4 linked regions of the Stegostoma tigrinum genome follow. The protein of the gene in region 4 purifies or fractionates together with the protein of the main gene of each other region. This does not show direct contact. Links are inferred from orthologs where the notes say so. Each region holds a gene or a part of one and is shown on either strand. Other genes may lie near its edges. The genes, in order: zinc finger protein ubi-d4 B-like, SWI/SNF-related matrix-associated actin-dependent regulator of chromatin subfamily D member 2, ss18 and arid1b.

The links.
Region 1: the proteins of arid1b (region 4) and zinc finger protein ubi-d4 B-like purify together in Homo sapiens (affinity purification with mass spectrometry; 7 studies listed by BioGRID and IntAct, counting the BioPlex papers as one, with this or other methods). This does not show direct contact. The link is inferred for Stegostoma tigrinum from reciprocal best matches to the Homo sapiens genes ARID1B and DPF2.
Region 2: the proteins of arid1b (region 4) and SWI/SNF-related matrix-associated actin-dependent regulator of chromatin subfamily D member 2 purify together in Homo sapiens (affinity purification with mass spectrometry; 5 studies listed by BioGRID and IntAct, with this or other methods). This does not show direct contact. The link is inferred for Stegostoma tigrinum from reciprocal best matches to the Homo sapiens genes ARID1B and SMARCD2.
Region 3: the proteins of arid1b (region 4) and ss18 purify together in Homo sapiens (affinity purification with mass spectrometry; 4 studies listed by BioGRID and IntAct, counting the BioPlex papers as one, with this or other methods). This does not show direct contact. The link is inferred for Stegostoma tigrinum from reciprocal best matches to the Homo sapiens genes ARID1B and SS18.

The regions. Positions count from the first base shown.
Region 1 is NC_081395.1:3,497,567-3,505,165, reverse strand, and holds the start of zinc finger protein ubi-d4 B-like, read left to right. Parts: upstream 1-4,580; coding exon 4,581-4,675; intron 4,676-5,030; coding exon 5,031-5,110; intron 5,111-7,599. UniProt on the Homo sapiens protein: Plays an active role in transcriptional regulation by binding modified histones H3 and H4. Is a negative regulator of myeloid differentiation of hematopoietic progenitor cells. Might also have a role in the development and maturation of lymphoid cells.
Region 2 is NC_081384.1:23,920,338-23,927,330, reverse strand, and holds the start of SWI/SNF-related matrix-associated actin-dependent regulator of chromatin subfamily D member 2, read left to right. Parts: upstream 1-3,983; 5' UTR 3,984-4,453; coding exon 4,454-4,609; intron 4,610-6,993. UniProt on the Homo sapiens protein: Involved in transcriptional activation and repression of select genes by chromatin remodeling (alteration of DNA-nucleosome topology).
Region 3 is NC_081358.1:125,259,593-125,267,148, forward strand, and holds the start of ss18 (protein SSXT), read left to right. Parts: upstream 1-4,549; 5' UTR 4,550-5,176; coding exon 5,177-5,245; intron 5,246-7,556. Other genes in the region: proteasome subunit alpha type-7, read right to left, coding at 1,307-1,433, 3,696-3,797. UniProt on the Homo sapiens protein: Appears to function synergistically with RBM14 as a transcriptional coactivator. Isoform 1 and isoform 2 function in nuclear receptor coactivation. Isoform 1 and isoform 2 function in general transcriptional coactivation.
Region 4 is NC_081362.1:36,512,971-36,520,064, forward strand, and holds the start of arid1b (AT-rich interactive domain-containing protein 1B), read right to left. Parts: upstream 3,011-7,094; 5' UTR 2,695-3,010; coding exon 1,399-2,694; intron 1-1,398. UniProt on the Homo sapiens protein: Involved in transcriptional activation and repression of select genes by chromatin remodeling (alteration of DNA-nucleosome topology).

The sequences.
Region 1 (7,599 bases), on a different chromosome or scaffold from region 4:
GGATCTCAGTCCCGGAACTGAAGAAATCCCCTGGTTATACTGGTCAGCCAGGGCTCTCCTGATTGGCCCAGGGTTAACATGCCCAATCAAGGATCTTGTAGCCAACAAGATCCAGCTGGTTCCTATCGCTACAGTACCCAAGGTTTAGCAGACTGATTCCTGAGATGGCAGGGCTGGCATATGAGGAGACACTGAATTGGTTAAAATTAGAGTCGCTGCAAAACTGGGGCCTCTCATAGATAGCTGTAAAATTCAAACAGGACTAGACAGGGTAGATGCAGGAAGGATACTCCCAGTGATGGGGAAGCCCAGAACCAGGGGTCACAGTGTAAGGATGTGGCAAAATCCAATCCCAAGAGCCTGCATCTGGCCCACATCTCTCGCAATCTTCCCGACTCATGTACCCGTCCAGATGCCCTTTAAATGCTGTAACTGTACCAGCCCCCACCACTTCCCCTGGCAGCTCATTCCATACCAACCATCCTCTGTGTGAAAAAGTTACCCCTCAGGTCCCTTTTACATCCTCCCCCTCTCACCTTAAACCTATATCCCTCTAGACTCCCCCCCACCCTGGGGGGAAAAGACCTTGTCTATTCACCCTGTCCATGCCCCTCATGATTTTATAAACCTCTATAAGGTCACCCCTTCAGCCTCTGAAGCTCCAGGGATTATCGCTGCAGCCTATTCAGCCCCTCCCTGTCGCTCAGACCCTCCAACCCTGGCAACATCCTTGTAAATCTTTTCTGAGCCCTTTCTATTTTAACGACATCCTTCCCACAGCAGGGAGACCTGGATTGAACACAGTTTTCCAAAAGTGGCCCTAACCAATGTCCAGTACAGCCACAACGTGGCCGTCCCAACTCCCTCTACTCAATGCACTGACCAATAAAGACAAGTACCAAATGCCTCCTTCATTATCCTATCCACCTGTGACTCCACTTTCAGGGAGCTATGAACCTGCTCCCCAAGGTCTCTCTGTTCAGCAACACCCCCCAGGGCCTTCCCATTAAGCCCTGCCCTGATGTGACTTTCCAAAATGCAGCATCTCACATTTATCTGAATTCAACTCCATCTGCCTCTCCTCGGCCCATCGGCCCATCTGATTAAGGCCCTATTGTACCCTGATGGAACCTTCTTCACTGTACACTGTATCTCCAATTTTAGACTCACCTGTAAACTTACCATATCAAAAGCCAGTCCCAAGAGCCTGCATTTGGCCCACATCTCTCTCGATCTTTCCAACTCATGTCCCCGTCCAGATGCCCTTTAAATGCTGTAACTGTACCAGCCCCCACCACTTCCTCACGACACCAGGTGAAAGTCTAACAGATGAAGGAGCTGTGCACCGAAAGCTTGTGATTTCAAATAAACCTGTTGGACTATAACCTGGTGTCTTGGGACTTCTGACCTCTGTCCACCGCAGTCCTACACGGGCACCTCCACATCTTGGCAGACCAGCCATACCCCTTATGTTCTCATCCAAATCATTGAAGCAAATGACCATCAGCAGTGGGGCTTTTAGTGACTTGGAGAGAGCAAGGCCTGCAGGTGCTGGAGTCAGAGATAACACAGTGTGGAGCTGGAGGAACACAGCAAGCCAGGCAGCATCACAGGAGCAGGAAAGCAGATGTTCCGGGCCTGGACCCTTCATCAGGACTGGGGAGGGGTTAGGGAGCTCAGAAATAAACAGAGGGAGGTGGGTGGGCCTGGGGGAAGGTAGGTGGGACGGTGATAGGTGGATGTAGATAGATGGTGGCGGGGAATGGTGAGTGGGATGGGTGGGGATGGATGGGTGGGAGAGAAGATGGACAGGTTGTGTCAGGTCAAGGAAATGAGAGGGAGGGTTGGTCATGAGATGAGGCTGGGGGTGTGGGAAGATTTTAAAACTGCACTCGACGTTAAGGCCATCAGGCTGTAGGCTCCCGAGGTGGAATATGAGGTTCTGCTCCTCCAGTTTGTGGGTGGCATCATTGTGACACTGGAGGAGGCCCAGGATGGATATGTCACCCAGGGAATGGCGGGGGGGGGGGGGCAGTTAAAATGGTTTGCAACTGGAAGGAGTCATCGTTTGTCGTGTATGGAGTGCAGATGATCTACAAAACGGCCCCTAAGTCTGCACTTGGTCTCACTGATTTAGAGGAGGCCACGTAGGGAGCAGGAGATACAGGAGCCAAGTTGACAGATGTGCAGGTGAACCCCCATCTAATAGACAATAGACAATAGGTGCAGGTGTAGGCCATTCGGCCCTTTGAGCCAGCACCACCATTCATTATCCTGTCACAATCAGTATCCTGTTCCTGCGTTATCCCCAAAACCCCTGACTCCACTATCTTTAAGAGCTCTATCCATCCCTCCATGACATGGAAGGTTTGTTTTGGGCCTGGGACGGGGGGTGAGGGGGGAGGTGCAGGGGTATAGCGCTTCCTGTGGGTACAGGGAAGGGTGGTGGGGTTAGTGGGGAGTGTGGAGCAGATGAGGGAGTTGCGGAGAAGGCGGTCCCTATGGAAGGCAGATAGTGTGGGGCGGGAAAATATATTTGGCTGTGGGCTCGGATTGTAGCTGGTGCAAATGGCGGAGAATGATACTTTGGATGTGGAGGTTGGTGGGGTGATATGTGAGGGACAATGGGGCTTCTGTCTTTATTTGTGTTGGGGGGGAGGGGGTGTGAGGACAGAAGTGTGGGAAACACAAGAGATGAGGTTGAGGGCATTTTCAATCACTGGGTGGGGGGAAGTTATGGTCTTTGAAATAGGGGTCCATGTGCGGGAGTGGAATGCCTCATCGTGGGAGCAGATGCGGCGGAGGCGGAGGAATTGGGAATAGGGGATGGAATTTTTGCAGGAGGGTGGGTGGGAGGAGGTGTATTCTAGGTAGCTGTGGGAGTCGGTGGGCTTGAAATGGACATCGGTTACAAGCTGGTTGCCTGAGATGGAGACTGAGAGGTCCAGGAAGGTGAGGGATGTGCTGGAGATTGCCCAGGTGAACTGAAGGTTGGGGTGGAAGGTGTTGGTGAAGTGGATGAACTGTTTGAGCTCCTCTGGGGAGCAAGAGGCGGCGCCGATACAGTCATCAATGTAACGGAGGAAGAGGTGGGGTTTGGGGCCAGTGTAGCAGAAGAGGGATTGTTCCACGTAACCTACAAAGAGGCAGGCATAGCTGGGGCCCATGCGGGTGCCCATGGCCACCCCCTTAGTCTGTAGGAAGTGGGAGGAATCGAAAGAGAAGTTGTTGAGGGTGAGGACGAGTTTGGCTAGGCAGATGAGGGTGTCAGTGGAGGGGGACTGGTCGGGCCTGCAGGACAGGAAGAAGCAGAGGGCCATCTGCATGAGGAATACAGGTGTATAGGGACTGGACGTCCATGGTGAAGATGAGGTGTTAGAGGCTGTGGAATTTACAGAGGTCCACTCTAAGTTTGTAAGAAGGAGCACAGACCTGAAGTTTTTTTTTAAAGCAGGTGGCAGCGCTTTAGAAATACTACAAATCACAGAATCTAGTTATGTTTGATTTATTGAACAAATGTGGGTCAAAACTCATTACCATGTGCCTGCACCAAAGCAGGGATTAAATAGCCAGCTCGACCTCAGTAACACTAGTACGTTGCGCATTTTAGGAAACAGGTTTGCAGTAATTGTCCTGCAAGAGATTGAACTCTCATGGCATGAACGTGTTCCTTTAACTTCCATTAAACCAAAATTGTCGATCCCTTTCATTCTTCCACAGAGAGACAGGGTACTTCGCAGTACCAAAGCTTAATTTATGAAGGTCCACACCAGGCAAACAAACAAGCAGGAGCTGCCTCCAACCTTTAGATTTGTCAGATACGTAGAAAATCAGAGAAGAGTACAGGAGGACATTCAGCCCGTTGAGTCTGCAGGGTCGGATTGTGCTGATTGTTGAGTCAATGTGATGGGGATTTGTCAGGATACCAAGTCTCAGCACTGAGTGACCATTTCACACTCACTGGCTCCCCTCAGCCAGTCCACCCTGTCGCTGCTCCTTCCTTCCTCTGAGGCTGAGTGGGAGCAGTCCCCCTCTGCTTCCCTGTCTAAGGTGAAAAGATTCAGTCTCCGAGTCCTACAGCACAGAAACAGACCCTTTGGTCCGACCCATCCACCGAGCTTGTTTTCCAAACTGACTCAGTCCCAGCTGCCTGCGTTTCGCCCATATCGCTCTCTAACCCTTTCCTGTTCATGTACCTGTCCAGATGTCTTTTTCAAATGCTGTAAGAGTCCCCCACACCCACCACTTCCCGTGGCAGTTCATTCCACACACAAACCAGCCTCTGTGTAAAAAAATTACCCCTCAAGCCCTTTTCAAAACGGTCTCCTCTCACCTTAAAAATACAACCCCTAGTTTTGAACTCGCCCACTTTAGAGAAAAGGCCTTGACTATTCACGTTCTTTATGACCCTCATGATATTTATAAACCTCTACAAGGTCGCCTCTCAACTTCCTACACTCCAGTGACAGAATTCCCAGCCTTTCAAGCCTCTCCTTATGACTCAAACCCTCCGATTCCCAGTGACGTCCCGGTACATCTCTCCCGAGCTCTCTACAGCTCAATAATATCCTTCCGAAAACATGGAGACACCAGAAATGCACATGGTGCTGCAGAATAGAGCGCCCCCAATGTCCTGCACAAACTCAACACAACGCCCCAACTCTGGCACTCAGCGGTGACCCACTCTCTGTCGGTGGGGCAGGCCAGAGGGATGGGGGGAAGCTGCTGGGGTGGGAGGAGGGTAACTCAGACCAGAGCCTCCCTGTGCAAAAGCACTCAAATAGCTGATTAAACTGAGCATCTAGAATCCTTTGTCCCAGGCATCACACTGAAGGGGCAGGGGATTATGCCAGCCCTGCTTTAACACTCAGTAATTCAATAATAAGCAAACTATCACGACTCAGCTCACAGGACTGACCCTCAAATCAAATATGAGTCAGCTGGAACAAAAACAGAAGTTGCCGGAAAAGCTCAGCGGGTCTGGCAGCGTTTGTGAAGGAAAAAAATCAGAGTAAACATTTCGGTTCCAGGGACCCTTCCTCAGAACTCAAACCCGAGACCAAAGGCTTAGTCACCAATGGAGCAGTGAGAGAAATTCAGGGGGGTTCAGGTGCCAAAGATAGGGAGGGGGTGTAGGGGCCAGAGGGGTTGCCAGAGATAGGGAGGGGGTGTAGGGGGTGACAGAGATAGGGAGGGGGTGTGGGGGCTGGAGAGGGTGACAGAGATAGGGAGGGGTGTGGGGGCTGGAGTGGGTGACAGAGATAGGGTGGGGATGTTTGGGCTGGAGGGGGTAACAGAGATAGGAGGGGGTGTGGGGGGGTGACAGAGATTGGCAGGGGGAGTAGCGGCTGGAGTGGGTGACAGAGATACGGTGGGGGTGTTTGGGCTGGAGGGGGTGACAGAGATAAGGAGGGGGTCGAGGGGTTGGAGAGGGTTACAGAGATAGGGAGGGGGTGTAGGGGCTGGAGGGGTTGACAGAAATAGAGGGGGGTGTAGGGGCTGGAGGGGGTGACAGAGACAAGGAGGGGGTGTTGGGAATTGAGGGTGTGACAGAGATAGGGAGGGGGTGTAGGGGCTGGAGGGGGTGACAGAGATAGGGAGGGGGTGTAGAAGCTGGAGGGGGTGAAGAGATAGGGAGGGGGTGTAGGGGATGGAGGGGGTGACAAAGATAGGGAGGGGGTGTGGGGGCGGGAGTGGGTGACAGAGATCGAGAGTCGGTGTAGGGGCTGGAGGGGGTGACAGAGAGGAAGGGGGTGTCAGGGCTGGAGGGAGTGACAGAGATAGTGGAGCGGGGGAATGGGGGATAGTGGAGAGGGGTGATTGGGGTTAGTGGAGAGGGGGGATTGGGGTTAGTGGAGAGGGGGGATTGGGGTTAGTGGAGTGGGGATGGGGGTTAGTGGAGAGGGGGGATTGGGGTTAGTGGAGAGGGGGTATTGGGGTTAGTGGAGAGGGGGGATGGGGGTTAGTGGAGAGGGGGTATTGGGGTGAGTGGAGAGGGGGGATGGGGGTTAGTAGAGAGGGGGGATTGGGGTTAGTGGAGAGGGGGGATTGGGGTTAGTGGAGAGGGGGGATTGGGGTTAGTGGAGAGTGGGGATGGGGGTTAGTGGAGTGGGGATGGGGGTTAGTGGAGAGGGGGTATTGTGGTTAGTGGAGAGGGGGAATTGGGGTTAGTGGAGAGGGGGTATTGTGGTTAGTGGAGAGGGGGGATTGGGGTTAGTGGAGAGGGGGGATGGGGGTTAGTGGAGAGGGGGTATTGGGGTTAGTGGAGAGGGGGTATTGGGGTTAGTGGAGAGGGGGAATTGGGGTTAGTGGAGAGGGGGTATTGGGGTTAGTGGAGAGGGGGGATGGGGGTTAGGGGAGAGGGGGAATTGGGGTGAGTGGAGAGGGGGAATTGGGGTGAGTGGAGAGGGGGAATTGTGGTTAGTGGAGAGGGGGGATGGGGGTTAGGGGAGAGGGGGAATTGGGGTGAGTGGAGAGGGGGAATTGGGGTTAGTGGAGAGGGGGAATTGTGGTTAGTGGAGAGGGGGTATTGGGGTTAGTGGAGGGGGGGATGGGGGTTAGTGGAGAGGGGGGATGGGGTTAGTGGGGAGGGGGATGTGGGCTTAGTGGGGAGGGGTTATTGGGGTTAGTGGAGAGGGGGGATTGTGGTTAGTGTAGAGGGGGGATTGTGGTTAGTGTAGAGGGGGGATTGTGGTTAGTGGAGGGGAGGGATTGGGGTTAGTGGAGAGGGGTATGGGGCTTCGTGGAGAGGGGGTATTGGGGTTAGTGGAGAGGGGGGATTGGGGTTAGTGGAGAGGGGGGTATTGGGGTTAGTGGAGATGGGGGATTGGGGTTAGTGGAGATGGGGGATTGGGGTTAATGGAGAGTGGGGATGGTGGTTAGTGGAGAGGGGGGATTGGGGTTAGTGGAGGGGTGGGATTGGGGTTTGTGGAGAGTGGGTATGGGTGTTAGTGGAGAGGGGGTATTGGGGTTAGTGGAGAGGGCGGATGGGGGTTAGTGGAGAGGGGATGGGGGTTAGTGGAGAGGGGGGATTTGGGTTAGTGGAGAGGGGGTTGGGGGTTAGTCTAGAGGGGGGATTGGGGTTAGTGGAGAGGGGGGATTGGGGTTAGTGGAGAGGGGGTATTGGGGTTAGTGGAGAGGGGGTATTGGGGTTAGTGGAGAGGGGGATGGGGGTTAGTGGAGAGGGGGGATTGGGGTTAGTGGAGGGGTGGGATTGGGGTTTCTGGAGAGTGGGTATGGGTGTTAGTGGAGAGGGGGTATTGGGGTTAGTGAAGAGGGCGGATGGGGGTTAGTGGAGAGGGGATGGGGTTTAGTGGAGAGGGGGGATTTGGGTTAGTGGAGAGGGGGTTGGGGGTTAGTGGAGAGGGGGGATTGGGGTTAGTGGAGAGGGGGGATTGGGGTTAGTGGAGAGGGGGGATTGGGGTTAGTGGAGAAGGGGATGGGGGTTAGTGGAGAGGGGGGATTGGGGTTAGTGTAGAGGGGGGATTGGGGGTTAGTGGAGAGTGGGGATGGGGGTTAGTGGAGAGGGGGTTGGGGTTTAGTGGAGAGGGGGGATTGGGGTTAGTGGAGTGGGGATGGGGGTTAGTGGAGAGGGGGGAT
Region 2 (6,993 bases), on a different chromosome or scaffold from region 4:
AATATCCATTGCATGCATTCCAAGTTTGGTGTTAGCAGAGTTAAAGATGAAGCTGAAAGAGATCAAGTCATCTCAGCAAATGTAATTGACAGTATTTCCAAGGCTGAGGAGTCATGAACAATGCCATCAGAATGTTGAGCTACGTAGCCAAAATTGTAGAATGGAGATCAGAAAATGTTGCGATTGAAACACACTTCGCACCACACCTTAAAAACTGCATCTAGGTGTGGCTGCCAAGATCCCAACAAAAAACATTCACATGCTGAAAGCACTGCACATTAGAACCACAAGGCTCAGCCAAAAGTCAGGGATCTGAATTCTAGGGAAATTCAGAATTTACAGATACAAACTGTTAAAAGGTAATTATACAATTGATATCAGAAAATTTTATTCCGTTATGTGTCCAGGTAAAGCAATAGATGAAAAAAGACAATTAAATGCTGCAATGGGAACACTTTTCTGAACAGGCTGCTTTCTCATCCACAAGAATTTTATGATCTAGTATGTAATAGATCAATCATATTTCCATGCTTAGGCCAAGTTGAGAGTTTCTTTTGGTGTTGCACATTAAATATGGGGAATCAATCTGTCTTGAGGGTTCCTTATGACCATGCAATATTAGATTTGCCTGCTTTGTGAGCAAACTTTGCTTGCAAATGAAAGAAGGGCGTTATTTGATGGTCCCTGATAAAAATGTAAAAATATAATTAACAAAAAATGTTAGATTTGCTGGTCGTCTGGGCAGACTACAGTTGGTGAGTTTCAAACAACTGCACAGGACTTTCAACATTAAGTAAATACCAAGGATGGACTTAGGAATAAATAAAATTGGATATAGTCATTTATTTCAGCATATAGACTTTTTTAAGATTGGGTCACAATTTTTAACTACCAATGACTAAAATTTGACTGCCACGACAGTATTTCAAACTTGATTTGTTTCAAGGCAGAGAGTTCCTGTTTCTCACCATCAGATTACATAGATAAGCTGGGACTCATTATTAGTCTATTCACTTCTGAGTCAGAAAGTTGGGAATTTGAGCCCTAGCAAGATATCTGAGCAAATAATATGCAATTGTAAAAGCCCATCAGACTGGGAAGAAGGCATCCTTGATAACAAAGTGTGGAGCTGGATTAACACAGCAGGCCAAGCAGCATCTTAGGAGCACAAAAGCTAACGTTTTGGGCCTAGAACCTTCATAAGAAAAGGGGGATGGGGAGAGGGTTCTGAAATAAATAGGGAGAGAGGGGGAGGTGGATCGAAGGTGGATAGAGGAGAAGATAGGTGGAGAGGAGACAGACAAATTAACGGGGTGGGGATGCACTTGCCACTACACCTCCTCCCTCATCCACATCCCAGGCCCCAAGAAGACTTTCCACATCAAGCAGATGTTCACCTGCACATCTGCCAATGTGGTATACAGCATCCGCTGTACCCGTTGTGGCTTCCTCGGGGAAACCAAGCGGAGGCTTGGAGGCTTTACAGAACACCAATGCTTGGTTCGCAATAAACAACTGCACCTCCCTGTCGCGAACCATTTCAACTCCCCCTCCCATTCCTTAGACAACATGTCCATCCTGGGCCTCCTGCAGTGCCACAACGATGCCACCCAAAGGTTGCAGAACAGCAACTCATGCAACCTTCTGCTTGGGGACCCTGCAGCCCAATGTATCAATGTGGATTTCACAAGCTTCAAAATCTCCCCTTCCCCCACTGCATCCCAAAACCAGCCCAGCTCATCCCCGCCTCCCTAACCTGTTCTTCATCTCAACTATCCCCTCCTCCCACCTCCAAGCCACACCTCCATTTCCCACCTACTAGCCTCATCCCACCCCCTTGATCTGTCCATCATCCCCAGACTGACATATCCCCTCCCTACCTCCCCACCTACACTCACCTTACTGTGGATTTCACAAGCTTCAAAATCTCCCCTTCCAAAAACCAGCCCAGCTCATCCCCTCCCCCCACTGCATCCCAAAACCAGCCCAGCTCGTCCCCACCTCCCTAACCTGTTCTTCATCTCAACTATCCCCTCCTCCCACCTCCAAGCCACACCTCCATTTCCCACCTACTAACATCATCCCACCCCCTTGACCTGTCCGCCCTCCCCAGACTGACATATCCCCTCCCTACCTCCCCACCAACACTCACCTCTACAGGCTCCATCCCCACCCCTTTAACTTGTCTGTCTCCTCTCCATCTATCTTCTCCTCTATCTATCTTTGATCTGCCTCCCCATCTCTCCCTGTTGATTTCAGAACCCTCTCCCCATCCCCCACTCTGATGAAGGGTCTAGGCCTGAAACATCAGCTTTTGTCCTCCTACGATGTTGCTTGGCCTGCTGTGTTCGTCCAGCCCCACACTTTTTTATCTCGGATTCTCCAGCATCTGCAGTTCCCATTATCTCTAAGAAGGCATCCTTGCTTGTTTTCAATATCATGCCAAGTGATGTTTTATACCCCACTGTGAAAGCAGATAGAGCTGAGTTTTAAGGCCTTGTGTGAATGACGGTGGCTGTTGAGAGCAATACCCCCCTAGCGCTGTACAAAAGTGTCAGGTGGATGTAGCTGAATATAGACTGTCACTAGATACTCTGAACATTTATTCCTCAACCAATATCTTTTAAAATCAAAATACCTGCTTATTTATTTCCATGTTGCTTGTGATCGCTACATAGACAAATTGGCTGCCATGTTTGGGGAGTGGCTACAATTCAAAAGTACTCTGTAAAACATTTTGAGATGTCCTGAGGTGATGACAGGTACATTTCAAATGTCAGTCATTTCTTCCTAAGTGTCTGGTTTTCAGGAAGAAGGCATTTTAGAACTTCTGTTCATAGTACTGGGATAAAGGAACCTCAGGTCCTATAACCAGTATTTGTAAAGATTTCCTCTGTTATTAAATACATCATTATGCCTTGTAAAATGCTAATGATATTCTAACCTCCTGGGGGTTACCATTGACCAGAAACTGAACAGGACTAGTGATACAAATACTGTGACTGTGAGAAGATCAGAAGCCTTGAATCTTACAATTAATTTACTTCCTGACTTCTCAAAGCCTATCCAGCATTTACAAGTCATAATTCAGGATCTGATGGCACACTCCCCACTTGCCTCCATGAGTGCAGCTCCAAAAACATTCAAGAAGCTTGACACCATCAACAAAACAACCCACTTGACTGGCACCATATCTACAAAGTTCAGTCCTTCAACCACAATGCTCAGTGGAAGCAGTGTGTACCAGTTACAAGATGCACTGCAGTACTTCACCAAGGCTGCTTAGGGAGAACCATCCAAACCCTTGACTGCAACTCTCTAGAAGGGCAAGGACGACAGATCCCAGGGAACACCACCATTTGCCAGTTCCCCTCCAACCACACACCATCTTGACTTGCAAATATATCGCTATTTCTTCAGTGCCAAAATCCAGGGAACTCCCTCACTAATGGCATTGTAAGCATCCTTGTACCAACAGACTGCAGCTGCTCAAGGCAGCTCACCACCACCTACATTACCTGTAAATTTCCAACTTCTGGATTTGGTAGTCAGTACGAGTTGGCGTGCACAGAGCCTCTGAGCAAATTTGTGACCACTTAATGGGGACAGTGCTCACCACCACCTTCTCCAGGGCAAATATGGATGAGCAATAAACGCTGACGCAGCCAATGAAGCCCACACCCCATGGGTGAATAAAGGTATTTTCTAAAAAGAGTCAACAAGGTGCGAGAAATAACTAAGAAAATGAGGGTTGGATTTGTCTGTTTTGCCAGGCAAAGAGTTCATTCTAACAGAGGTGCTGCTGACTGAAGACTGCACTTTACCTGGCGCAGGCTGAGTTCCTGCTTGCTATAGACAGCACAATGTTTAGACTTGCCTGGTGAAGTGCTCCTACTGAGTAGGTAGAGGGCGCGCGGTCTATTGAGTTCCCTGCTAACCTGCTTGAGCAATCCCCACCCATCTGCCAAAGCCACAGAAGTGGGCGGGAGGCGTAGCTCTCAACAAACAAGAGTGTAGCGAGGGGGAGAAAAACACTCTGATCTTTATCTTTAGACATTTTGTTGGTTTTGAGGCACTTTAGAAAATGTGTCAGTGCCAGCAGAGTGGGGGCTTATAGCTCTCCAGCAGATTCATGGGTAATGATGACACCAAACATTGCCACCTCTGTGCCTGTTGTTAAATGTTATGTGTGTGCTTTCTTGTTTTTTTTGAAAAGAAAGCGTTAACGTAGCCGGTAAGGAATAGCCGTGGGGTGAAACCGGAGACCTCTCTCCCTGAGCCGCGGAGGCTTGTGGCAACCAATTGGAGGAGTGACTTGTACCAAGTGACAGCTGGGATCTTTGTTGGAGGAAGAGTTGTTAGCGCCGAGTGAGATTGTCTTTTGTTTTCATATATCTACATATACATATATATATTACATGCATGTGTCTGTTTATGTATACACTTTGAAAAAATGGCGACAAGAGTAGGCGGAGGGTACCCCTTGAACCCAGGGAGCCCCCTGAATCCTTCCTTGGGGGTGATGCCAGGACAAGCGGTCAGGATGCCACTGAACCTCCAGCAGCAATCTCCAGTCTTCCGGACGATGGGTCCCGGCGGCGCTTACAACGTGAGTAATTGCCTCCAAACCCCACTGCTCACCAGCAATGCAAAACTTTCCAACTTCTGCCCTTATTTATCTGCACCGATCGATCGGAAAGCACTGAAACCGGCCCCAGAATCAGAAAGGAAACCACCGTTTTATTTAGTCATCGATTTTCCCCCCCCTTTTTCTGTAATTATGTTTCTTGACTTCTTTAGAATTAAATACTTGATGTGGCGGCGCCACATGAGATTAATTTTTAATGTAGTTTTTCTTTAAAAAAACATGTGGTTTAGACACGTGCAAGAGATATGAAATAGCTCTAAAGGTGACTCTCTTTTTGTTGAATAAAAGAGTTAGTTGCTATTTTTTTCTCTGGTGTTTATCAAATTGGCAAGGAACTGACCCCAAGCAGACACCCTAGCCCTCTTGTTTTGCTGGTTGAAATTACAGTGAAACTCGGCCTAAAAGCTCCCTCCCGATCCTCCCTGCTGAATTATTTTGTGTGTGTGTTGTTGTTCCCGTTTCGCATTACTTCCGCATTCAGTGTCGCATCGAGAAACCTTGTTCCGCGATTGCGGAGATTCGGCGCTTGGACCCTCATCCCCCTGACCCCGGAAACCCGGGGTCTCCGCTTCAATCTGCAGCCTACCTACTTTCCCCCACCCCCCAAGATCACTGCAAAATACCCACCCTCCCGCCTCCCGGACTATGGTCTTACACGTGGTCAGCACTGTAAGAGAGGAGAGGCACATGAGCGCCATCACATGCCTCCTATTGTAGGGCCACTGGGAGTTTGGGGCATCTGGATTGTAGAGAGCAGGAGCATGTGGGGAACCTTGATTATAGAGAGAGGGGTATTAGGGGGTTTGGTTTATGCACACAAGCTGGGGTAAAGGTTCTGAATTGCAGGGGAAAAACATGTAGGAGAACTGAATTGTACAAGTGGGGATGTATCTGGATTACAGAGACAGGGCGACTAGAATTGCAAAACTGAAAGAAATAGGAACTGTATTAGGCTGTTCACCCCCTCCTACACCCTTCAGTGGGATCATAGCTGAAACTTAATTCTTCATCTCTGCTTTCCTGCGTTTTCCCTGTATCCCTTGATTCCCCGACTGATCACCAGCTTTAAATATACACAAGGACTGTACCCCACAGCTGTCTGTGGCAAGGAGTTCCAAAGACACACTCACCATTGAGAGACAAATTCCTCCTCATCTCCGTTCTAAATTGGTGCCCCTTTGTTCTGAGGCTGATCCTGGACTCTACCGTGAGAGATAACATCCTGTCAGTATTTACCCTAGCGAGTTTTGAGAACATTTGTAGCTCAGGTTGAGTTTCTGGATGTGAGTTTGCTCGCTGAGTTGGAAGGTTAGTTTTCAGACGTTTCATCACCATTCTAGGTAACATCATCAGTGAGCCTCCGATGAAGCGCTGGTGTTATGTCCCGCTTTCTATTTATCTGTTTATCTATTTCTATTTATTTGTTTAGGTAAACAGATAAATAGAAAGCGGGACATAACACCAGCGCTTCATCGGAGGCTCACTGATGATGTTACCTAGAATGGTGACGAAACGTCTGAAAATTAACCTTCCAGCTGAGCGAGCAAACTCACATCCAGTATTTCCCCTGTCAAGCCCCTTAAAATCCAGTAAGCTTCAATGAGAGCACCTCTCATTCTAATGAACTGCAAGGGCTGGAGTCCCAACCTGTTTAGCTTTTGCTCATTAGACAGTCCCTCTAGATCCCGTACACCCCCTCTCTCTATAATTGAGGTTCTCCACATGCTGCTTATCTCTACAATCCAGATTCCCCACCTCCCAGTGGCCCTACAATAGTCCCATCCTAGGGAGCCTTCTTTGAAGTGAGGCTGATTTAGTTTGGGAAACTTGGTCAGAGTGGACAAGTAGGACTAAGGATCTATTTCTGTGCTCAGAGATAATGGGAACTGCAGATGCTGGAGAATTTGAGATAACAAAGTGTGAAGCTGGATGAACGCAGCACAAAAGCTCTATACCCTTCATCAGAGAGGTGAAGGGTCTAGGCCCGAAACGTCAGCTTTTGTGCTCCTAAGATGCTGCTTGGCCTGCTGTGTTTATCCAGCTTCACACTTTGTTATCTCTGTTTCTGTGCTGTCTGAATCTAGGACTGTATGATTCAAGAGACACAGGCGAGATGAGAGATCTGGATGATGGGGACAATGGAATGTTGGGGATCTAGATTACAGAGACAGGGCAAAAAGGGGCTCTCAATTATGAAGCCAAGGGATGGGGATCTGTCTTACATATAAAGCATTTGAATTGTGGGTGAGGAAAATAGGATACCTGGATTACAGGTAAGGGGAGACTGGGATTAGAAATGCGAGCTGTATCTTGGTCTGTGTTATAGGGGCAGGTTGACATAGGGG
Region 3 (7,556 bases), on a different chromosome or scaffold from region 4:
GGATTTGGGGTAGACCATTTAGGATGGAGATGGAGAGACAGTTCTTCACCCAAAGAGTGGTGAGCCTGTGGAATTAATTACCATAGGAAGTAGTTGATGCCAAAACACTGAATATATTCAAAAGGCGGCACTTGGGGCAAATGGGATCAAAGGTTATGGGGAGAAAGCAGGATTAGTCTACTGAGTTGGACGATCAGCAATGATCGTGAAGAATAGTGGAGCAGGCTCGAAGGGCTGAATGGCCTCCTCCTGCTCCTGTCTTCTCTGTTTCTATCAGACTTAATTCCAGATTTTGTTTGTGAAATAAAATTCAAATTCCACCATCTGCCATGCGGGATTATCTGGGTTTTTGGATTAATAACCTTGCACTACACTGTTACCTCCCCAAGGGACCAGCACTTATCCCCGTGGAACGCCAGTGGACACCGACCTCCAATCGCACAACCAGCCTTCCAGCACCACCTTCTATCTCCTACCATTAACCCAATTTTGGGTCCAACCTGCCAAGCCTACATGCTTCTACGTTCATCAGTGTCCCCTGTGGCACCTTGTCAAAGGCTTTGCTGTCCTGCAGTCAGCATTGGTCCCCTGTTCTAACTGAATAAGAGCTGAACTTGTTGACCCTTCTCAACACAACCCACTTCCACATACCTGTCTACAGCCATAAACATCATCAACACTGACTGAAATGCAAGTTATTTCTTTGGGGAAAAGATGATATGAGACACTGACAGAAACTTAGGAACAGGAGTAGACCATTCAGCCCCTTCAACCCATTTCACTGTTCAATGTGCTCACAGCTGGTCTGTGGCTTAACTTCAAATACATGCCTTTAGCCTAGGTCCCTTAACACCTTTGCTTCACAAAAAATTATTTCAAATTAAAAATTAACAACTGATCTAACATACCAGCCATTTGTGGAAGAGAGTTCCAAACATCTATCACCTTTCTGTATAGGAGTGCTTCCTAACATCTCTTCTGGATAGCCTGGCCCTAATTCTCAGACTCTTCCGAGTTCTAGAATTGCCAATCAGTAGAAATAGTTCATTGTTATTAACTCTGACCTTTCCTGTCAATATCTTAAAGGAGTCCCAATAACTTTCCAAATTCTGGAGAACACATAAACAGTGACAGTTATTAGAGCCTGAGGCGTTCAAACAGTCACATCCAAAAACAATTTCAATGATGGATGTTTCCTCAACCTTGTTGATATTTTTTCAGCCATTTTTTAGAAAACAAATAATAAAATAAAACAAATATAATTAAGTTGCATTAAAAAGCCCCAGAAGGAAATCCCAAAGTATACCTGCAAATGCCATGCAGACATGGTCATCAAGTGCACAGATTTTTCTCACTGTTCTCTCCTCCTGAAGTTTTGCAACAGACTTTTTCTCCACACCAAGAACAACTATATCTTTACCTCGAATCCCAACCTTCAAAACGGGAAGAGTAAGCACAGTGAGTGAGTAACCGAAAGGAAAAAAAACTTACAGGACTGCATGACACTGCAGACATGGTTTGCTTAGGGGATACTTGTCTTCATTAGCCAAAGCATTGAAGACGAGCAAGGAAGTTATGTCGGAACTGTATACAAGATTAGTTGGGCCACTGCTGGAGTACTGAGAGAAGATCTGGGCAGGACATTATAGGAAGGATGTGATTGCCCGAGACAGGGTGCAGAGGAGATTCACCAGGATGTTGCCTGGACTGGAACAATTAACCTACAAAGAGATACAAGATAAGGTGAAGTTGGTTTCCATACAGCAGAGAAAGCCGAGGGCAGGATTTGAGTGAAGTCTCCCAAGTTTGAGGAGCATAGACAGCATAGCTCGGAATAGACATTTTCTCTTGGTAGAGGGATTAATAACCAGAAGGCACATTTTTCAGCTCAAGCGCAGGACCTTCAGAGAGGATTTGAGAAAAAAAATTCAGAGGGTTGTGGGTGTTTGGAACTCTCTCTCTGAAAAGGGTAGAGGCAGGAACAGTTGAGACATTTAGGTAATACCAAGATGAAAACTTGAAATGCCACAGCAAACAAGGCCATAGAAATGGAATGAGAAGAGATGGAGGTTTAACAACTAGCATAAATGCAATAGGTGAAGGCCCTCTTTCCAAGATGTAAAAACTCTTGACTCTGTTCAAGTAAATATCTTGCTAGGTTACTTCAGAGAGAACTTTGGCATTTGTTCATAAATTAATAGAATATAAAAGTAGATAAGTATTACTGCAACTAGACAAGGCATTATAAGATTACATCTGGGATACTATGTAAAATGTTGGTCACTTAATTGAGGAAGAAGGTAGTTGTCTCAGACACAGATCAAAGGAGATTTACTCAAAAACAGAAATTGCCAGGGAAAGTCTAGCACCAGTGAAGAGTTTAAAAAAAAGAGAGTTGACGTTTTGAGTCCAGTGACACTCCTTCAGGGCCCTTCTGAAGGTTCACTGGATCTGAAACATTGATCATTTGTTTCTCTCTGCACGGTTGCTGCCAGACCTCCTGAATTTCACCAGAGATGAAGGGCTTGTCTTATGAAGAGAGATCAAGCAGTTTACATATAGATAGAACATTTACATAGAACATTACAGCACAGTACAGGCCCTTCGGCCCTCGATGTTGTGCCAACCTGTCATACCGATCTCAAGTTCATCTAACCTACACTATTCCATGTACGTCCATATGCTTATCCAATGACGCCTTAAATGTACGTAAATTTGGCGAATCTACTACCGTTGCAGGCAAAGCGTTCCATTCCCTTACTACTCTGAATAAAGAAACTACCTCTGACATCTGTCCTATATCTTTCACCCCTCAATTTAAAGCTGTGCCCCCTCGTGCTCGCCTACACCCTGGAATGTTGGGCACGGTCCCTTGGCATAGGGCAGCAGCAAAGTGGGCACTGTGCTGGGGCAGGGGAGGAGGAAGCATGTGGGGGGTGCCACTGTCCCTGGGAGGGGGGGGGGAGCGATGTGTGGAGAGATGTGGGGGATCACTGTCCCTAATTGGGGGTGGAGGGGGCAAAGAAGGAATATGGGTGATCACCATCCCGTGTGGGGGGGGGGGTCACTGTTTCAGGGGTGGTCACTGTCCCTTGGGGAGGGGGGGGGCGTGTGGGGGTCACTGTCCCTTGGGGGGGGCGCGTGGGGGTCACTGTCCCTTGGGGGGGGGCGCGTGGGGGTCACTGTCCCTTGGGGGGGGGCGCGTGGGGGGTCACTGTCCCGGGGAAGGGGGCGTGTGGGGCGTCACTGTCCGGGGGGGCAGGGGGTCACTCTCCCTGGAGGGAGGGGTCGTGTGGGGGGGTCACTGTCCTTGGACGGAGGGGGCGTGTGGGGGTCACTGTCCCGGGGGGGGCCGTGTGGGGGTCACTGTCCTTGGAGAGAGTGGGGGGGGGGCAGGGGGGTCACTGTCCTTGGAGGGAGGGGGCGTGTGGGGGTCACTGTCCTTGGAGAGAGTGGGGGGGGGGCAGGGGGGTCACTGTCCTTGGAGGGAGGGGGCGTGTGGGGGTCACTGTCCCGGGGGGGGGGGCAGGGGGGGTCACTGTCCCGGGGGGGGAGGGGGGTCACTGTCCTTGGAGGGAGGGGGCGTGTGGGGGTCACTGTCCCGGGGGGGGGAGTGGGAGGGGGGGGCGCGCGGGGTCACCGTCCCTGGGGGCTGTCACTGTTCCCGGAGTGGGGCGGTTCTACTACAGACTCACCGCTGTCGAGCCTTTCTTCACGGCCTCTTGCGCGTATTCCACTTGAAAGAGATGTCCGTCTGGAGAGAACACAGTGATGGCTCGGTCATAGCGAGCCGCCATAGCCGCGGTCAACTAATCCACCCCCCCTCCCCGCCCAAGACCGGCCGTAACGCACGCGCACAAACGGACGGTAGGCGCAACGCACGCGCACGAGCCGGCCGCCGGCACAGCGCACGCGCGCGCTCGAACCAGCCGCCAAACTAAAGGACTCCACTGCGCACGCCCTCATGGAAGGGGCGGAGCTGTGGCCAATGGACTTCACCAATTAAACAGCTTCTCCGGAGGGGCGGTAATATCATTTCGTTCCATTATATTATTAACGCGCAGCATCAGTAACGAAAATCCCATTTTTGAAAGGAAGTTATTAATTATTCTTCAATTTTCTTTTGTTCGTTGCGTATATTTGGTGGGACAGTGTGTGTATTCTACACATTGGTATTCCTCACCCCCTCTCCCGACTACTGGGTATAGTTTGATATGGCCTCAGGCCGGAAGAAACCACAAAGAGGAGGGGGAGGATTGGACGAAATCCAGCTACATAACATCAGGGCGATCTGACAGAAAAAACATCTATGGACTGCAAACATTATGCATCTTGAAATTAATTGACCCCCTTTACTGATTGAACATGTTGAAAAACATCTATTTTCGTTGCAACTTTGGTTGCATCACTGCCAAAAAAAAGTCGCTTCCCTGTTCCAGATTCTGGTCTTGAAACCAGAAGGAATGCACCATTTGTCTCCAGAGGGGAGGGTGGGTACTGAGGACAACTGTAGAGGCCTGGGAATGTCTGGCTTTATTGATTAGTAAAGTACACGGTAGTTATATTCGTGGGAAGCATTTCATGTCCTACTCTGGCCCAATTCGGATTTGTTGCTTTACTCTGTGTAGGAATTGCTTGCTGTTGAATCCACAAAATCCCCAGTGGTTGCAGTGTAACTGGCAGGAGTTTATCCGGAATTCTTCATTCATTAATGGGGGAGATCCTCAGCTGACTGATTCATTAGAAATTGCACCCAAAATACTGCACTGTCTCCCCAGTCACTGAAAATGCACTGGATCAGAATAATGCAGGCACTTGCAGCCCTCTTTGTCTCCTTGCACAGCTGCTGACAACTTCTTGCTGCAGCCCTGGTGTGCATTTTCTACCTTACGCCTTTTAGTGTTGGGGCTGGAGGAGGGGTGTAAACTCTGCCGTTTCCCCTTCCTCCCACAGCTACGAGAGATTTTTTTTAAAAAATATAGTAGAATCTCTTTGAAGAGGGAAGAAAAAGAGCGCTGCCTGTTTCCAAGGAGGAGGAGTTGCTACCATGTCTGCTGCATTCTGTATGCTGTGTGGGTGAAGAGAGGGGAGGGAGTGAAGGGGGGGGGAGAATAGAAATAAGAGAGGAGTGGAAGGGTGAGAAATAGACTCAACTCCATACACAGAGCAGAGCACGATGTCGGTTGCTTTTGCTACTCCCCGGCAACGCGGGAAAGGTGAAATTACACCTGCCGCCATTCAGAAGGTAATGTAGCGAGTTTTGGAACGTTGCGACAATGTATCCGCTCAGATTGTTACACTGGAGGGTTACATTGTAGCAGGCGTGCAACAATGTAACCTATACATACACACCGGGGGGGAGGGGGCATCAGATCATGAAGCCTTTGTATTCGTAGAGTCCCGTTAAGCTTCAACGGGGAACAAAAACCATTTTCTTCTTCCCTGTGTATTTTGTTTTAAAAATAAGATTCCGTGGGGAGAGGGGGTTCCTATACACTCACCCAGATACGAAAAAAATGCTTGACAGAGAGGGGGAATTTTGCTCTCGCGGCCATGATGAAGGTCTTCAACTGTTTTTGGGAGAACATTTTTTTTCTCTTTGTCTTCCCCCCCCCCTCCCCCAGAGCTTCTTGAAGCTTTTACAGCCTCATTCCTAAGTCCAACCTCGCTCAGCGAAATTCACAAGCGCCAGGAAATGATCATTTTCTCATAAGTACAATTGGGTTGGCAGTTAACTTTTAATCCGTCTCCAGTAATTTTTTTTTCTCTCTCCGAGGTTATTTTTTTCTTGCAATGTCTGGTTGGATTTGAAATGTTCCCCTTTTCTCCACCCCTTAAGAATACTTCAGATCTGCTGATGGATTTGATTTCACGTTTTTTTTTCTATTCATTTCAACCAACTTTAATTGTTCGAGTTGATGTGTGAGCTTGAGCGAGTAACACGTTCTGGGGGAATTTCTGTTACATCAATTTTACGACAAGGTCACTGCTTTTTTTTCGTTTGTTCTGAGCTGAGATGTTTACTTGTACTCCTGCGTTTTTGTTTATTGTGCTGGAAATAGCAGTTTTTGCACAGTTGAGGTTTGACTCCTGTCCTGTTTCGCGTTCCTCCCTTGGCATTTCCCCTCTGGGTTGTCTCTTCGCAGCCGAGCTATTTTGCCAAGTCACGGGCTACGTTTTGGGTCATGTTGCTGGGGCAGGTTTAAACCCAGAAGCCTAGCCGTTTCAGCTGGAGACTTGAGTTCAAATCCTAGCTTGGCAATTCCAAGTCTGGGAAGCTCGGTTACACTCGGTCTGGCCAACGGCGCAATTTTTAAAAATTGTCCAGATGAAACGAAATATTGTGGACGCGAGGAGGGTAGTCATGGACTTGGAGAGGACACGACTGGAAGGGGCAGCTGAAATTTAACACAGAAGTAGAAATTGCTGGAAAAACCCGGCAGGTCTGGCAGCATCTATGGAGAGAAATCAGTTGACCTTTTGGGTCCAGTGACTATCTCCACCCTTCCGAACTTTCGGATTTACAGCCTCCTCAGTTCGACCTGTTTTAATGCAGATGAAATGTGATGTGGAGAAGTCTGAGGAAAGCAAAGGGACACGATAAAACAAGAACACAATTTTGCTGAAGAAGGGGTGTGATAACACGGTGTGGAGCTGGATGAACGTAGCTGGCCAAGCAGCATCAGAGGAGCAAGAAAGCTGACGTTTCGAGCAAGGGTCCCGACGCGAACCGTTAACTTTCCTGCACCTCTGCTGTCTAGCCTGTTGTGTTCATCCAGCTCCACACTGTATTGTCTCTGCGATGAAATGAAAGCCCTTATTCTCCAAGGGGCTGCGCAGGATTTGGGGATTGGTGAGTGCACCATTTCTGCAAGGCAAGGAGGGAAAGTGGTTGGAAAGGCACAAAGGATCCCTCCTTTTTAAAATAAGCTTAAACAGTACAACTCATTCAGCCAGTAACTCACTGTTCCAGCCTCACCTGAAATCTAGTGCTGAATTCTGGGCTACACACTTCAGGAAGGATATGCAGGTCTTGGAGGGAGTACAATGTAGGTTTACCAGAATGAAACCTGGACTTCAGGCATTAAGTTATGAGGAGAGATTATACAAACTGTTTTCTCTAGAATTTAGAAGGTTGAGGGTGATCTGATCGAAGCCTTTAAGATGTTAACAGGAAAACATAAACAAATTACTTAACAAAAATGTACCTAAATTATTAATGACTGTGGGTCAAAGACAAGTACATGGAGTTAAGTCACAGATCAGTCATGATTTCATTGATTGGCAGAACAGGCTTGCAGGGCTGAATGGCCTACACCTATTCCTCCTTGTCAACATGTTAGATGCAGATTTTCAGAGGCAAATGGTTCATAGTTAGGGTGTAACTATAATCCAGAGGACCAGGCTATGGGGTTGCAAGTTCAAATCCCATCACAGCAGCTGGTAGACTTTAGATTCAATAAATAAAAATCTAGAATCTAAAGCTATACTCCAGACCACAGCAAAGTAGTTGACTCTTAACTGCATATTTGTCACTTTCAGAAGTTCCTATTGAA
Region 4 (7,094 bases):
CTCCTGGTTCAGAGGCAAGTACACTATTCTGTTACACAAGAACCGCCATGCCATCATTTAACAACCCGACTACAACTACCACCATACCATTGGCACGGAATTGAACTTATGGGTCTGTATAGTTATACTGAAGCATTTACCATGAGCAATCAGACAAAGAGATTTCAATTTAATTAGAAAAAAAGGAAATATAGTTCACAAAGTTAAAGTTCTAGTTTTTAATATTGCTACAATTGGTGTGGAATCAAAAGCAATAACAATTATGGTATTTTACAATAGTAAATTGCTCTATATGCAGTACTTCCTGGGCAATACTTACAAAGCAGTTAATTTTCTTTGAATGAACTAACCATAATACTCATTTGTATAGATTTCACTTAATAGATATTTTAAAATAATACTGTTCTAAATTACTTCTCAATTCATCCAACAAGCTTATCCCTTGATTACACAGAACAGGTTCTGAAGTGTACGGAATATCTATTGCTGTTTCATTAAAGTTACCAACGCTTATAATTAATGGCTGATTTTAGTAAATATGCATAAGCTGGTTATTCCAGAATATTTTAATATGTCAACCGCTTGTTACTAAACAAGTGTTTCACTGCCAAAGATGGTTTATCGAATCAAACACATTTTAAAAATGGAAATTTTGATATTTAAGTGCAACTGGAATGTCGAAGGGAATGAAAGTTGAAGCGGTGTTGATTTCTCTTAATGATCCATGCGCTCTGTAAATTGTGCGGATTCTTAGGAAACGTGCAATGTGGGCTTACGATTGCGACGTTCAGGAACTTGTATTTACATCAGCACTGATAAATGCCCAGTGGTGAGTGTGAGAACCAATCAGATGGCAGATTAGATGTCAACTCGGAGGCAGCTGTCTAGAGACTCGATTCCAGGCGTTTTACCTCCATAATTCAAATTGCAAACCTTGCAAATGAAGGTGAAGAGATTCGAATACGAGCTGAATGGACCTACCAGTTTTCATACACCATGAAACAAAAATCAACCCGAGCAGCCTGGAGGGTAAAAGTAACTGAAATGGGTGGGGTCAAAAACATACCGAATAGCAGTTTAAATTAACAAAAGGAAACTTAACTGATTTATTTAATCTAGAAGTAACCTAACTGGAAGTTATCAGTTCAGTGCATAAATCCGCACAGCGGACACCCATCGCTAGGGGTAGAAAGCACAAACTCTCTGCATACGGCGTATCCCAAGAAAAAGAGTCGCTAAAACTCTCTCCTTGCCAGTAAGAAGTCATATGAAACGTAGCGCGGCCTAGGTCCCTGACCAGCAGTTGCACGACTTTCTCTCTAAATATCTTCACATCGCACAACGCCAGCTCCATTCTCCCTTCAGGGAGAAAGACACCGACAACACAGGCCGCTTTACCTGTGTCCTGCCCAGAGGCTGCGCCGAGCTGCCAGGGCTCATGGCCGTGTGGCTGCGGGCTTGTCCTGCTCCGCCGCCACCACCACCACCTCCGCCTCCGCCTCCCCAGGGTTGGCTGCTGCCTACTCCGTATTGACTGCCTATGTCGTTCCCTTTGAACGAGGTCTGCGAAGGGCCGGGATTACTGTAGTCCGGAAAGCCATATCCCCTCATGGGGCTGGGGGAGGTCAGTAGCTGGTTGAGAGTTGGCGTGGCCCCCGAATGCTGGTTTTGGCCTGAGTAGCGCTGAAATGCCCCGGCCAGAGGCGGCTGCTGCTTGCCTTGATGGTGGCCGCTGTTGGTGGCCCCACTGGATCCCATATTGTTGGCCCTGGGAGAGTTCATTATGCCGTAACCAGGGCTGCTGTAAGCCGGCCTGTACCCCGAGTAGTGGTTGTAGTTGTTGGAGTAGCCGTCGTGAGAATTGTGTAGCGGGCTGGCGCTCAGCTCCAAGCTGCTGGAAGGATGAAGCCCAAGCCCCGGGCTTTGTTGTCCGCCATGTTGATCGAAGTAGGGTCCTGGACCGGGGCCTGTTCCTGCCGCCGCCGCCCGGTAATAATAATTATAATCGTGGAGGCCAGGCGCCGGCTCTGCTTGAATATTGGAGCCTGCCGGGTGCTCATATCTCTGATCGCCCATTTTGAGCAATTGGTCGTCGGCCTTATTATTGTTGCCCTGGTTGTCAGCGCTTAACAAGATGTTGTCTTTCCCACCACCGCCTCCATGTTGAGTCTCTGCCCCGCCGCCTCCTTCTCCTTGATGATGGGGAGGAAGCAACAATTCAGCGCCGGTGGGTTTCAGTTTGTGATTGGGAATTATCCCCGCCTCACTGGCGGCCGAAGATGAGGAGGAGGCGGTGGACGCCGAGGAAGGCGAGGCTGAGGCGGGTTCTTTGTGCGTTGGCTCTGGGTTCGGGTTGGACGAGGCCGACCCCGAGCCTCCAGCAGCGCCGCTGCCTCCGCCGTTGTTGGCCGGACTGGGGCCAGGCCCCGAGGAGTTGGCCATGGTGAGCTCGCCGTGGTGCTGCTGGTGGGGAAGGTGGTGCTGGTGGTGGTGGCGAGGATGGTGATGATGATCAACGCTGTTTAGGTTCAAGCCGCCGCCACTGGGATCTCCGCCGTCACCGCCGAGTCCTCCTACCGGAGCCGCCGGTTTTCCGTTGTTGACGCTGTTTGGGTCGGGGCCGCTCAGGCCGGGGCTACCACCGTTGTTGCTACTGTTGGCCGGAGCTGCTGCTACTTGAGCAGCCATGATCATCTCTCAGAAAATCAGTCGGAGAGCAGGGAAAGACACAGACACGTCTGCTTCCTTTTACACCCGATCATTAAATATTATTAAAAAAGAAAAAAAACTTGTCCTCCTCCAGTTTGAAAGCAAAAGAAAAATAGGCTCACATTCTCTTCTGTTGCATGGTGATTATAATAATAAATTAAATTCTATTTTCTATTTTTGTTAAATAGGTAGAAAACTTTCTCCAGATCTGTTTTAAAAATCAAACTTTCCTTTCCTCTCTAACCCGGATATGGGTAACTACATGTCTAGCTGAGCCTCTGGCCCAGCATGGCATGAGGACTCCAACAACTATTATCCATTCCTCTGATTACTGCATATCAACTCGAAAACACGGGCTGGAACCTGTATCTCTCCCATACTGCACAATCTAAATGCAGTGACGTTTATAATTGTTTTACTTTCTATGTTGTTTAAAAACATGAATTCTAATTTCCTAACCTGTTAATATGTATAACTTACCATAAACTATTGGCAATCATTTCTATTTGATGAATAACAACATTAATTTAAACCTATGATTCTCTTAAGTTGCCATTTATTGTAATCTGTAAACATAGTTTGTATTAATTGTATCTTACCTTAATGTGTTATAAAATTGACCCACCAAACAAAATGCTCGTTATCAACTAATTCAAACTTTGTTTCCCATTTTAAAAAGCATCAGTCTTCATAAGATGATATGGTAGTTGTCGATTCTCTGCATATCCCAAAAACGTCAGCTTTTGTGCTCCTGAGATGCTGCTTGGCCTGCTGTGTTCATCTAGCCTCACACTTTGTTATCTCTGCATATCCCATTTCATTTTGAAAACAATTTAATAGATTTATTACATTTTCTCAATACTTATCACAATTAACATTAGTAAGATGAGATAGTAAGAGCTGCAGATGCTGGAGAATCTGAGATAACAAGGTGTAGAGCTGGATGAACACAGCAGGCCCAGCAGGAAGACTGACGTTTCAGGCCTAGACCCTTCTTATTGCTGAAGAAGGGTCTAGGCTCGAAACGTCAGCCTTCCTGCTCCTCTGATGCTGCTTGGCCTGCTGTGTTCATCCAACTCTACACCTTGTTATCTACATTAGTAAGACATCGTTTTAGACCAAATTCTTTTTAGTATTTCACTTTCCAAGCATGACCTGTGTCTCCTTTCATTGTGCGTGTACCAGAACGTTCCAGTCCAGTTCTTGCCTCTCTCCTAGCCCCGGGTTCAATCTATTTCTCTCTAGCCTCAGAGTTAGACATAATCACAGGATCACTGGAATCCTTACGCTATCAACTTATACACATCAGCCAGCATCCGAATCAAAATTCAGCCAGCAAAAAAAATCCTGCAAAATCCACTTATCCCAGACGTGTGTGGCAACTCACATCTGAGAATGAGGATTAACAAAAATCAAGGAAAAATAGCACGGACTATTTTCCCTAATGTGTCCTTTCCTTCAGAGTAACGAACAGCATTCCTAGGTTGAAGCATTCTCTACTCTGCTCAGTGCCTATTTGCTGTTCCTATATACTCCCACTGGAGATCTTTTTACATTGAAAACAAATTTGAAAATTCATTATTTTTAATCTGAAAATAGTATGTGTTATTTATTTCTATTTGTTGTATTCAGATACCGAATCCCATTTCTGAAGTTTTCACTGAGATCCTATCAGTATTTTTTTCATGTACCTCATGAGAGGGAGTTGCTTGCAATTGCTTCACACGCATCAATAGTTGTCAGTAAAATCAAACTGACGTCAGTGCTGAGTAAAAGATATGTCCCTTTTGTTCTCCGTTTTCCCACTCTGCAATCCAATAATTCAGACGCTTGTAAAAGGAATCCTTATTGCAAATAAATTTTAAGTTTGCAATAATGACCCAGCGATGTTTTGCGCGCATTAAATAGATGTAGCAGTCTTTTTGATCTTTATGTCTCCCAGCGTCAATTGGGTTCAGTTATACCGGAAGGTTAGTTGCAAATCCTGGCTGATCTGAAATTCGATCAACAGACGCAAGGGGCAAAAAAAAGGCATTTCAGTGCAAATCGATGGATTGATGACGCGCTCGAATCTTTCAAACACATTATTCGACATAAAATGCGCAGCGATTTCATTGAATTTAAACAAATAATGAAATTATAGCAAGACGGGTAGAATCTTGTCGAGGGAGGAAACTTAATTCCTTCAAACAACCATATTATGGTGTGCTGTGTACTTCTGGCTGCAGCGCGGAAGTAATTGCTTAGACAGCACAATTTAACTTTTAAAGATCAAAAAATAAAATTAACATTTTCTTGTAACGGATTCTTCAGTGCAATGTAAAGTTGTACACATTTTAAATCATACATTATTTACAGTCAATAATCATTAACATCCTCCGCACCTCACTGACATGAGACATTTAAAGAGATTCTGTTTATTTCGACAGATTGCAAGTTGTTGTCATTGCTCATATTTGTATACAAAGAAGGTGTTTTGTTACAGAATACATTTCAGGAAGTGCAAAACAACAAACAATTTCTGCCATGTCCATGTCATTTTGTAAAAAAAAAACAATTTTTAATATCAAAAGATTAAAGAATGGAAGAAAAAATAATCCATTATAACTTGGAATATCACTGCATTTGTCAGATTTCTTTGAAATCAATACATCAACTTTATTCATGTTTGTATAACATATTTCTCTGTTGCTTACTGGAAGTCTATAGCACTTTAGACATATTAAAACATCCCAAGATGTAACTATTGGAGTGTAATGAGTCAAAATTTGACATCAAGAAACATAAGGTGATATTAGAGAAGGTGATTGAAAGCTTTATCAGAAATAGGTTTTAAGGAACACCTTAAAGTGGAAAAAGAGGAGAAAGGAATATCTATTTAGCAGGGACTTAAAGACTTGTAATGACATTTCTGATTAGAATATACCATTAGGGCCTTGCACAGCTGAAGACATTGCTGGCAATAAAAGGCATTTCTTCAGCCAGAGAGTGGTGGGCCTGTGGAATTCATTGTCATGGAGCGCAGTTGAGGCCGAGACGTTAAATGTTTTCAAGGCAGAGATCGATAAATTCTTGATCTCACAAGGAATCAAGGGCTACAGGGAGAGTGCAGGGAAGTGGAGTTGAAATGCCCATCAGCCATGATGAAATGGCAGCGTGGACTTGATGGTCTTATATGCAGGTGATTTAGTATGTATGGATTTCAGTAAGTCCTTTGACAAGGTCCCACATTGGCAGCTGATAATACAAATAAAAGCATATGGAATTTAGGGAAAATTGGCATGTTGGATCCAAAACTGGCTTCTGGTAGGAGGTAGAGTGTGGTGGTAGAAAGCTGTTTGTGTGACTTGGAAGCCAATGTGCAGTGGGGCACTGTGGACTCCAGGGTGTGTGGGCTGCAGTCAGTTTATTCAGTTAGCTAAATGATTATTTTGTAAGGCAGAATAATGGCAGCTGTATTAGTTCAATTCCTGCATCAGCTAAGGTTACCACGAAAGTCTCTCCTTCTCAACCTCTTCCCCTCTCCTGAGATACAATGACCCACACGTTAAACTACCACCAGTCATCTCTCTCAGAGCAATCCTGTGAACCGGTAGGACTTTTGAGATTTTACCTTACCACAGAGATTAGTGCAGGTTTCCCTTTATTGTTTGTGATGTACAGACAATATATATGGAAAAATTTGGGGGAATGGAATTAAGTTTGTGGATGACATGAAGTGGCTGGGTGATTGAGAATAAGGAAGAAGATCTTGGGTTACAAGAAGATATGGACAGATTGGTCAGATCAGCAGACAAATGCTAGATGGAAATTAACCCTGTGAGACATGAGGTGTTAGGCTTTGGAAGAAGCAAGAAGACAAGGGAGTGCTTGTGAATGGCAGGAATCTAGTAAGTTCAGAGGAACAGAAGATCTTGGAATGCTTGTCTATAGATCCCTGAAGATGTGAGATCAAGTTAAAAGTGTAGTTAAGAAGGCATATGGGATACTTATTAGTCATGACATAGTTTATAAGAGCAGGAAGGTTATGTTGAAACTGTATAGGACTGTGGTCAGACCACATTGGAGTACTGTGTGTAGCTCTGGTCACATGATAGGAATGATGTGACTGCACTGGAGGGGATGCAGAGGAGATTCTTCCGGATGTTGCCTGGGATGGAGTAGTTTAGTAATGAGGAGAGTCTGGATTTGATGGGATTGTTTTCTTTAGAGCTGAAAAGGCTGAGAGAGAACCTGATTGAGGTATATAAGATTATCCCAGACGTGGACAGAGTAGATAGAACGCAGCTGCTCCCTTTCATTGAAGGGTCAATAACAAGAGGGAGTAATTTTAAGGTGAAAGGTAGGAGGCTCAAAGGGGATTACATAGAACATAGAACAATACA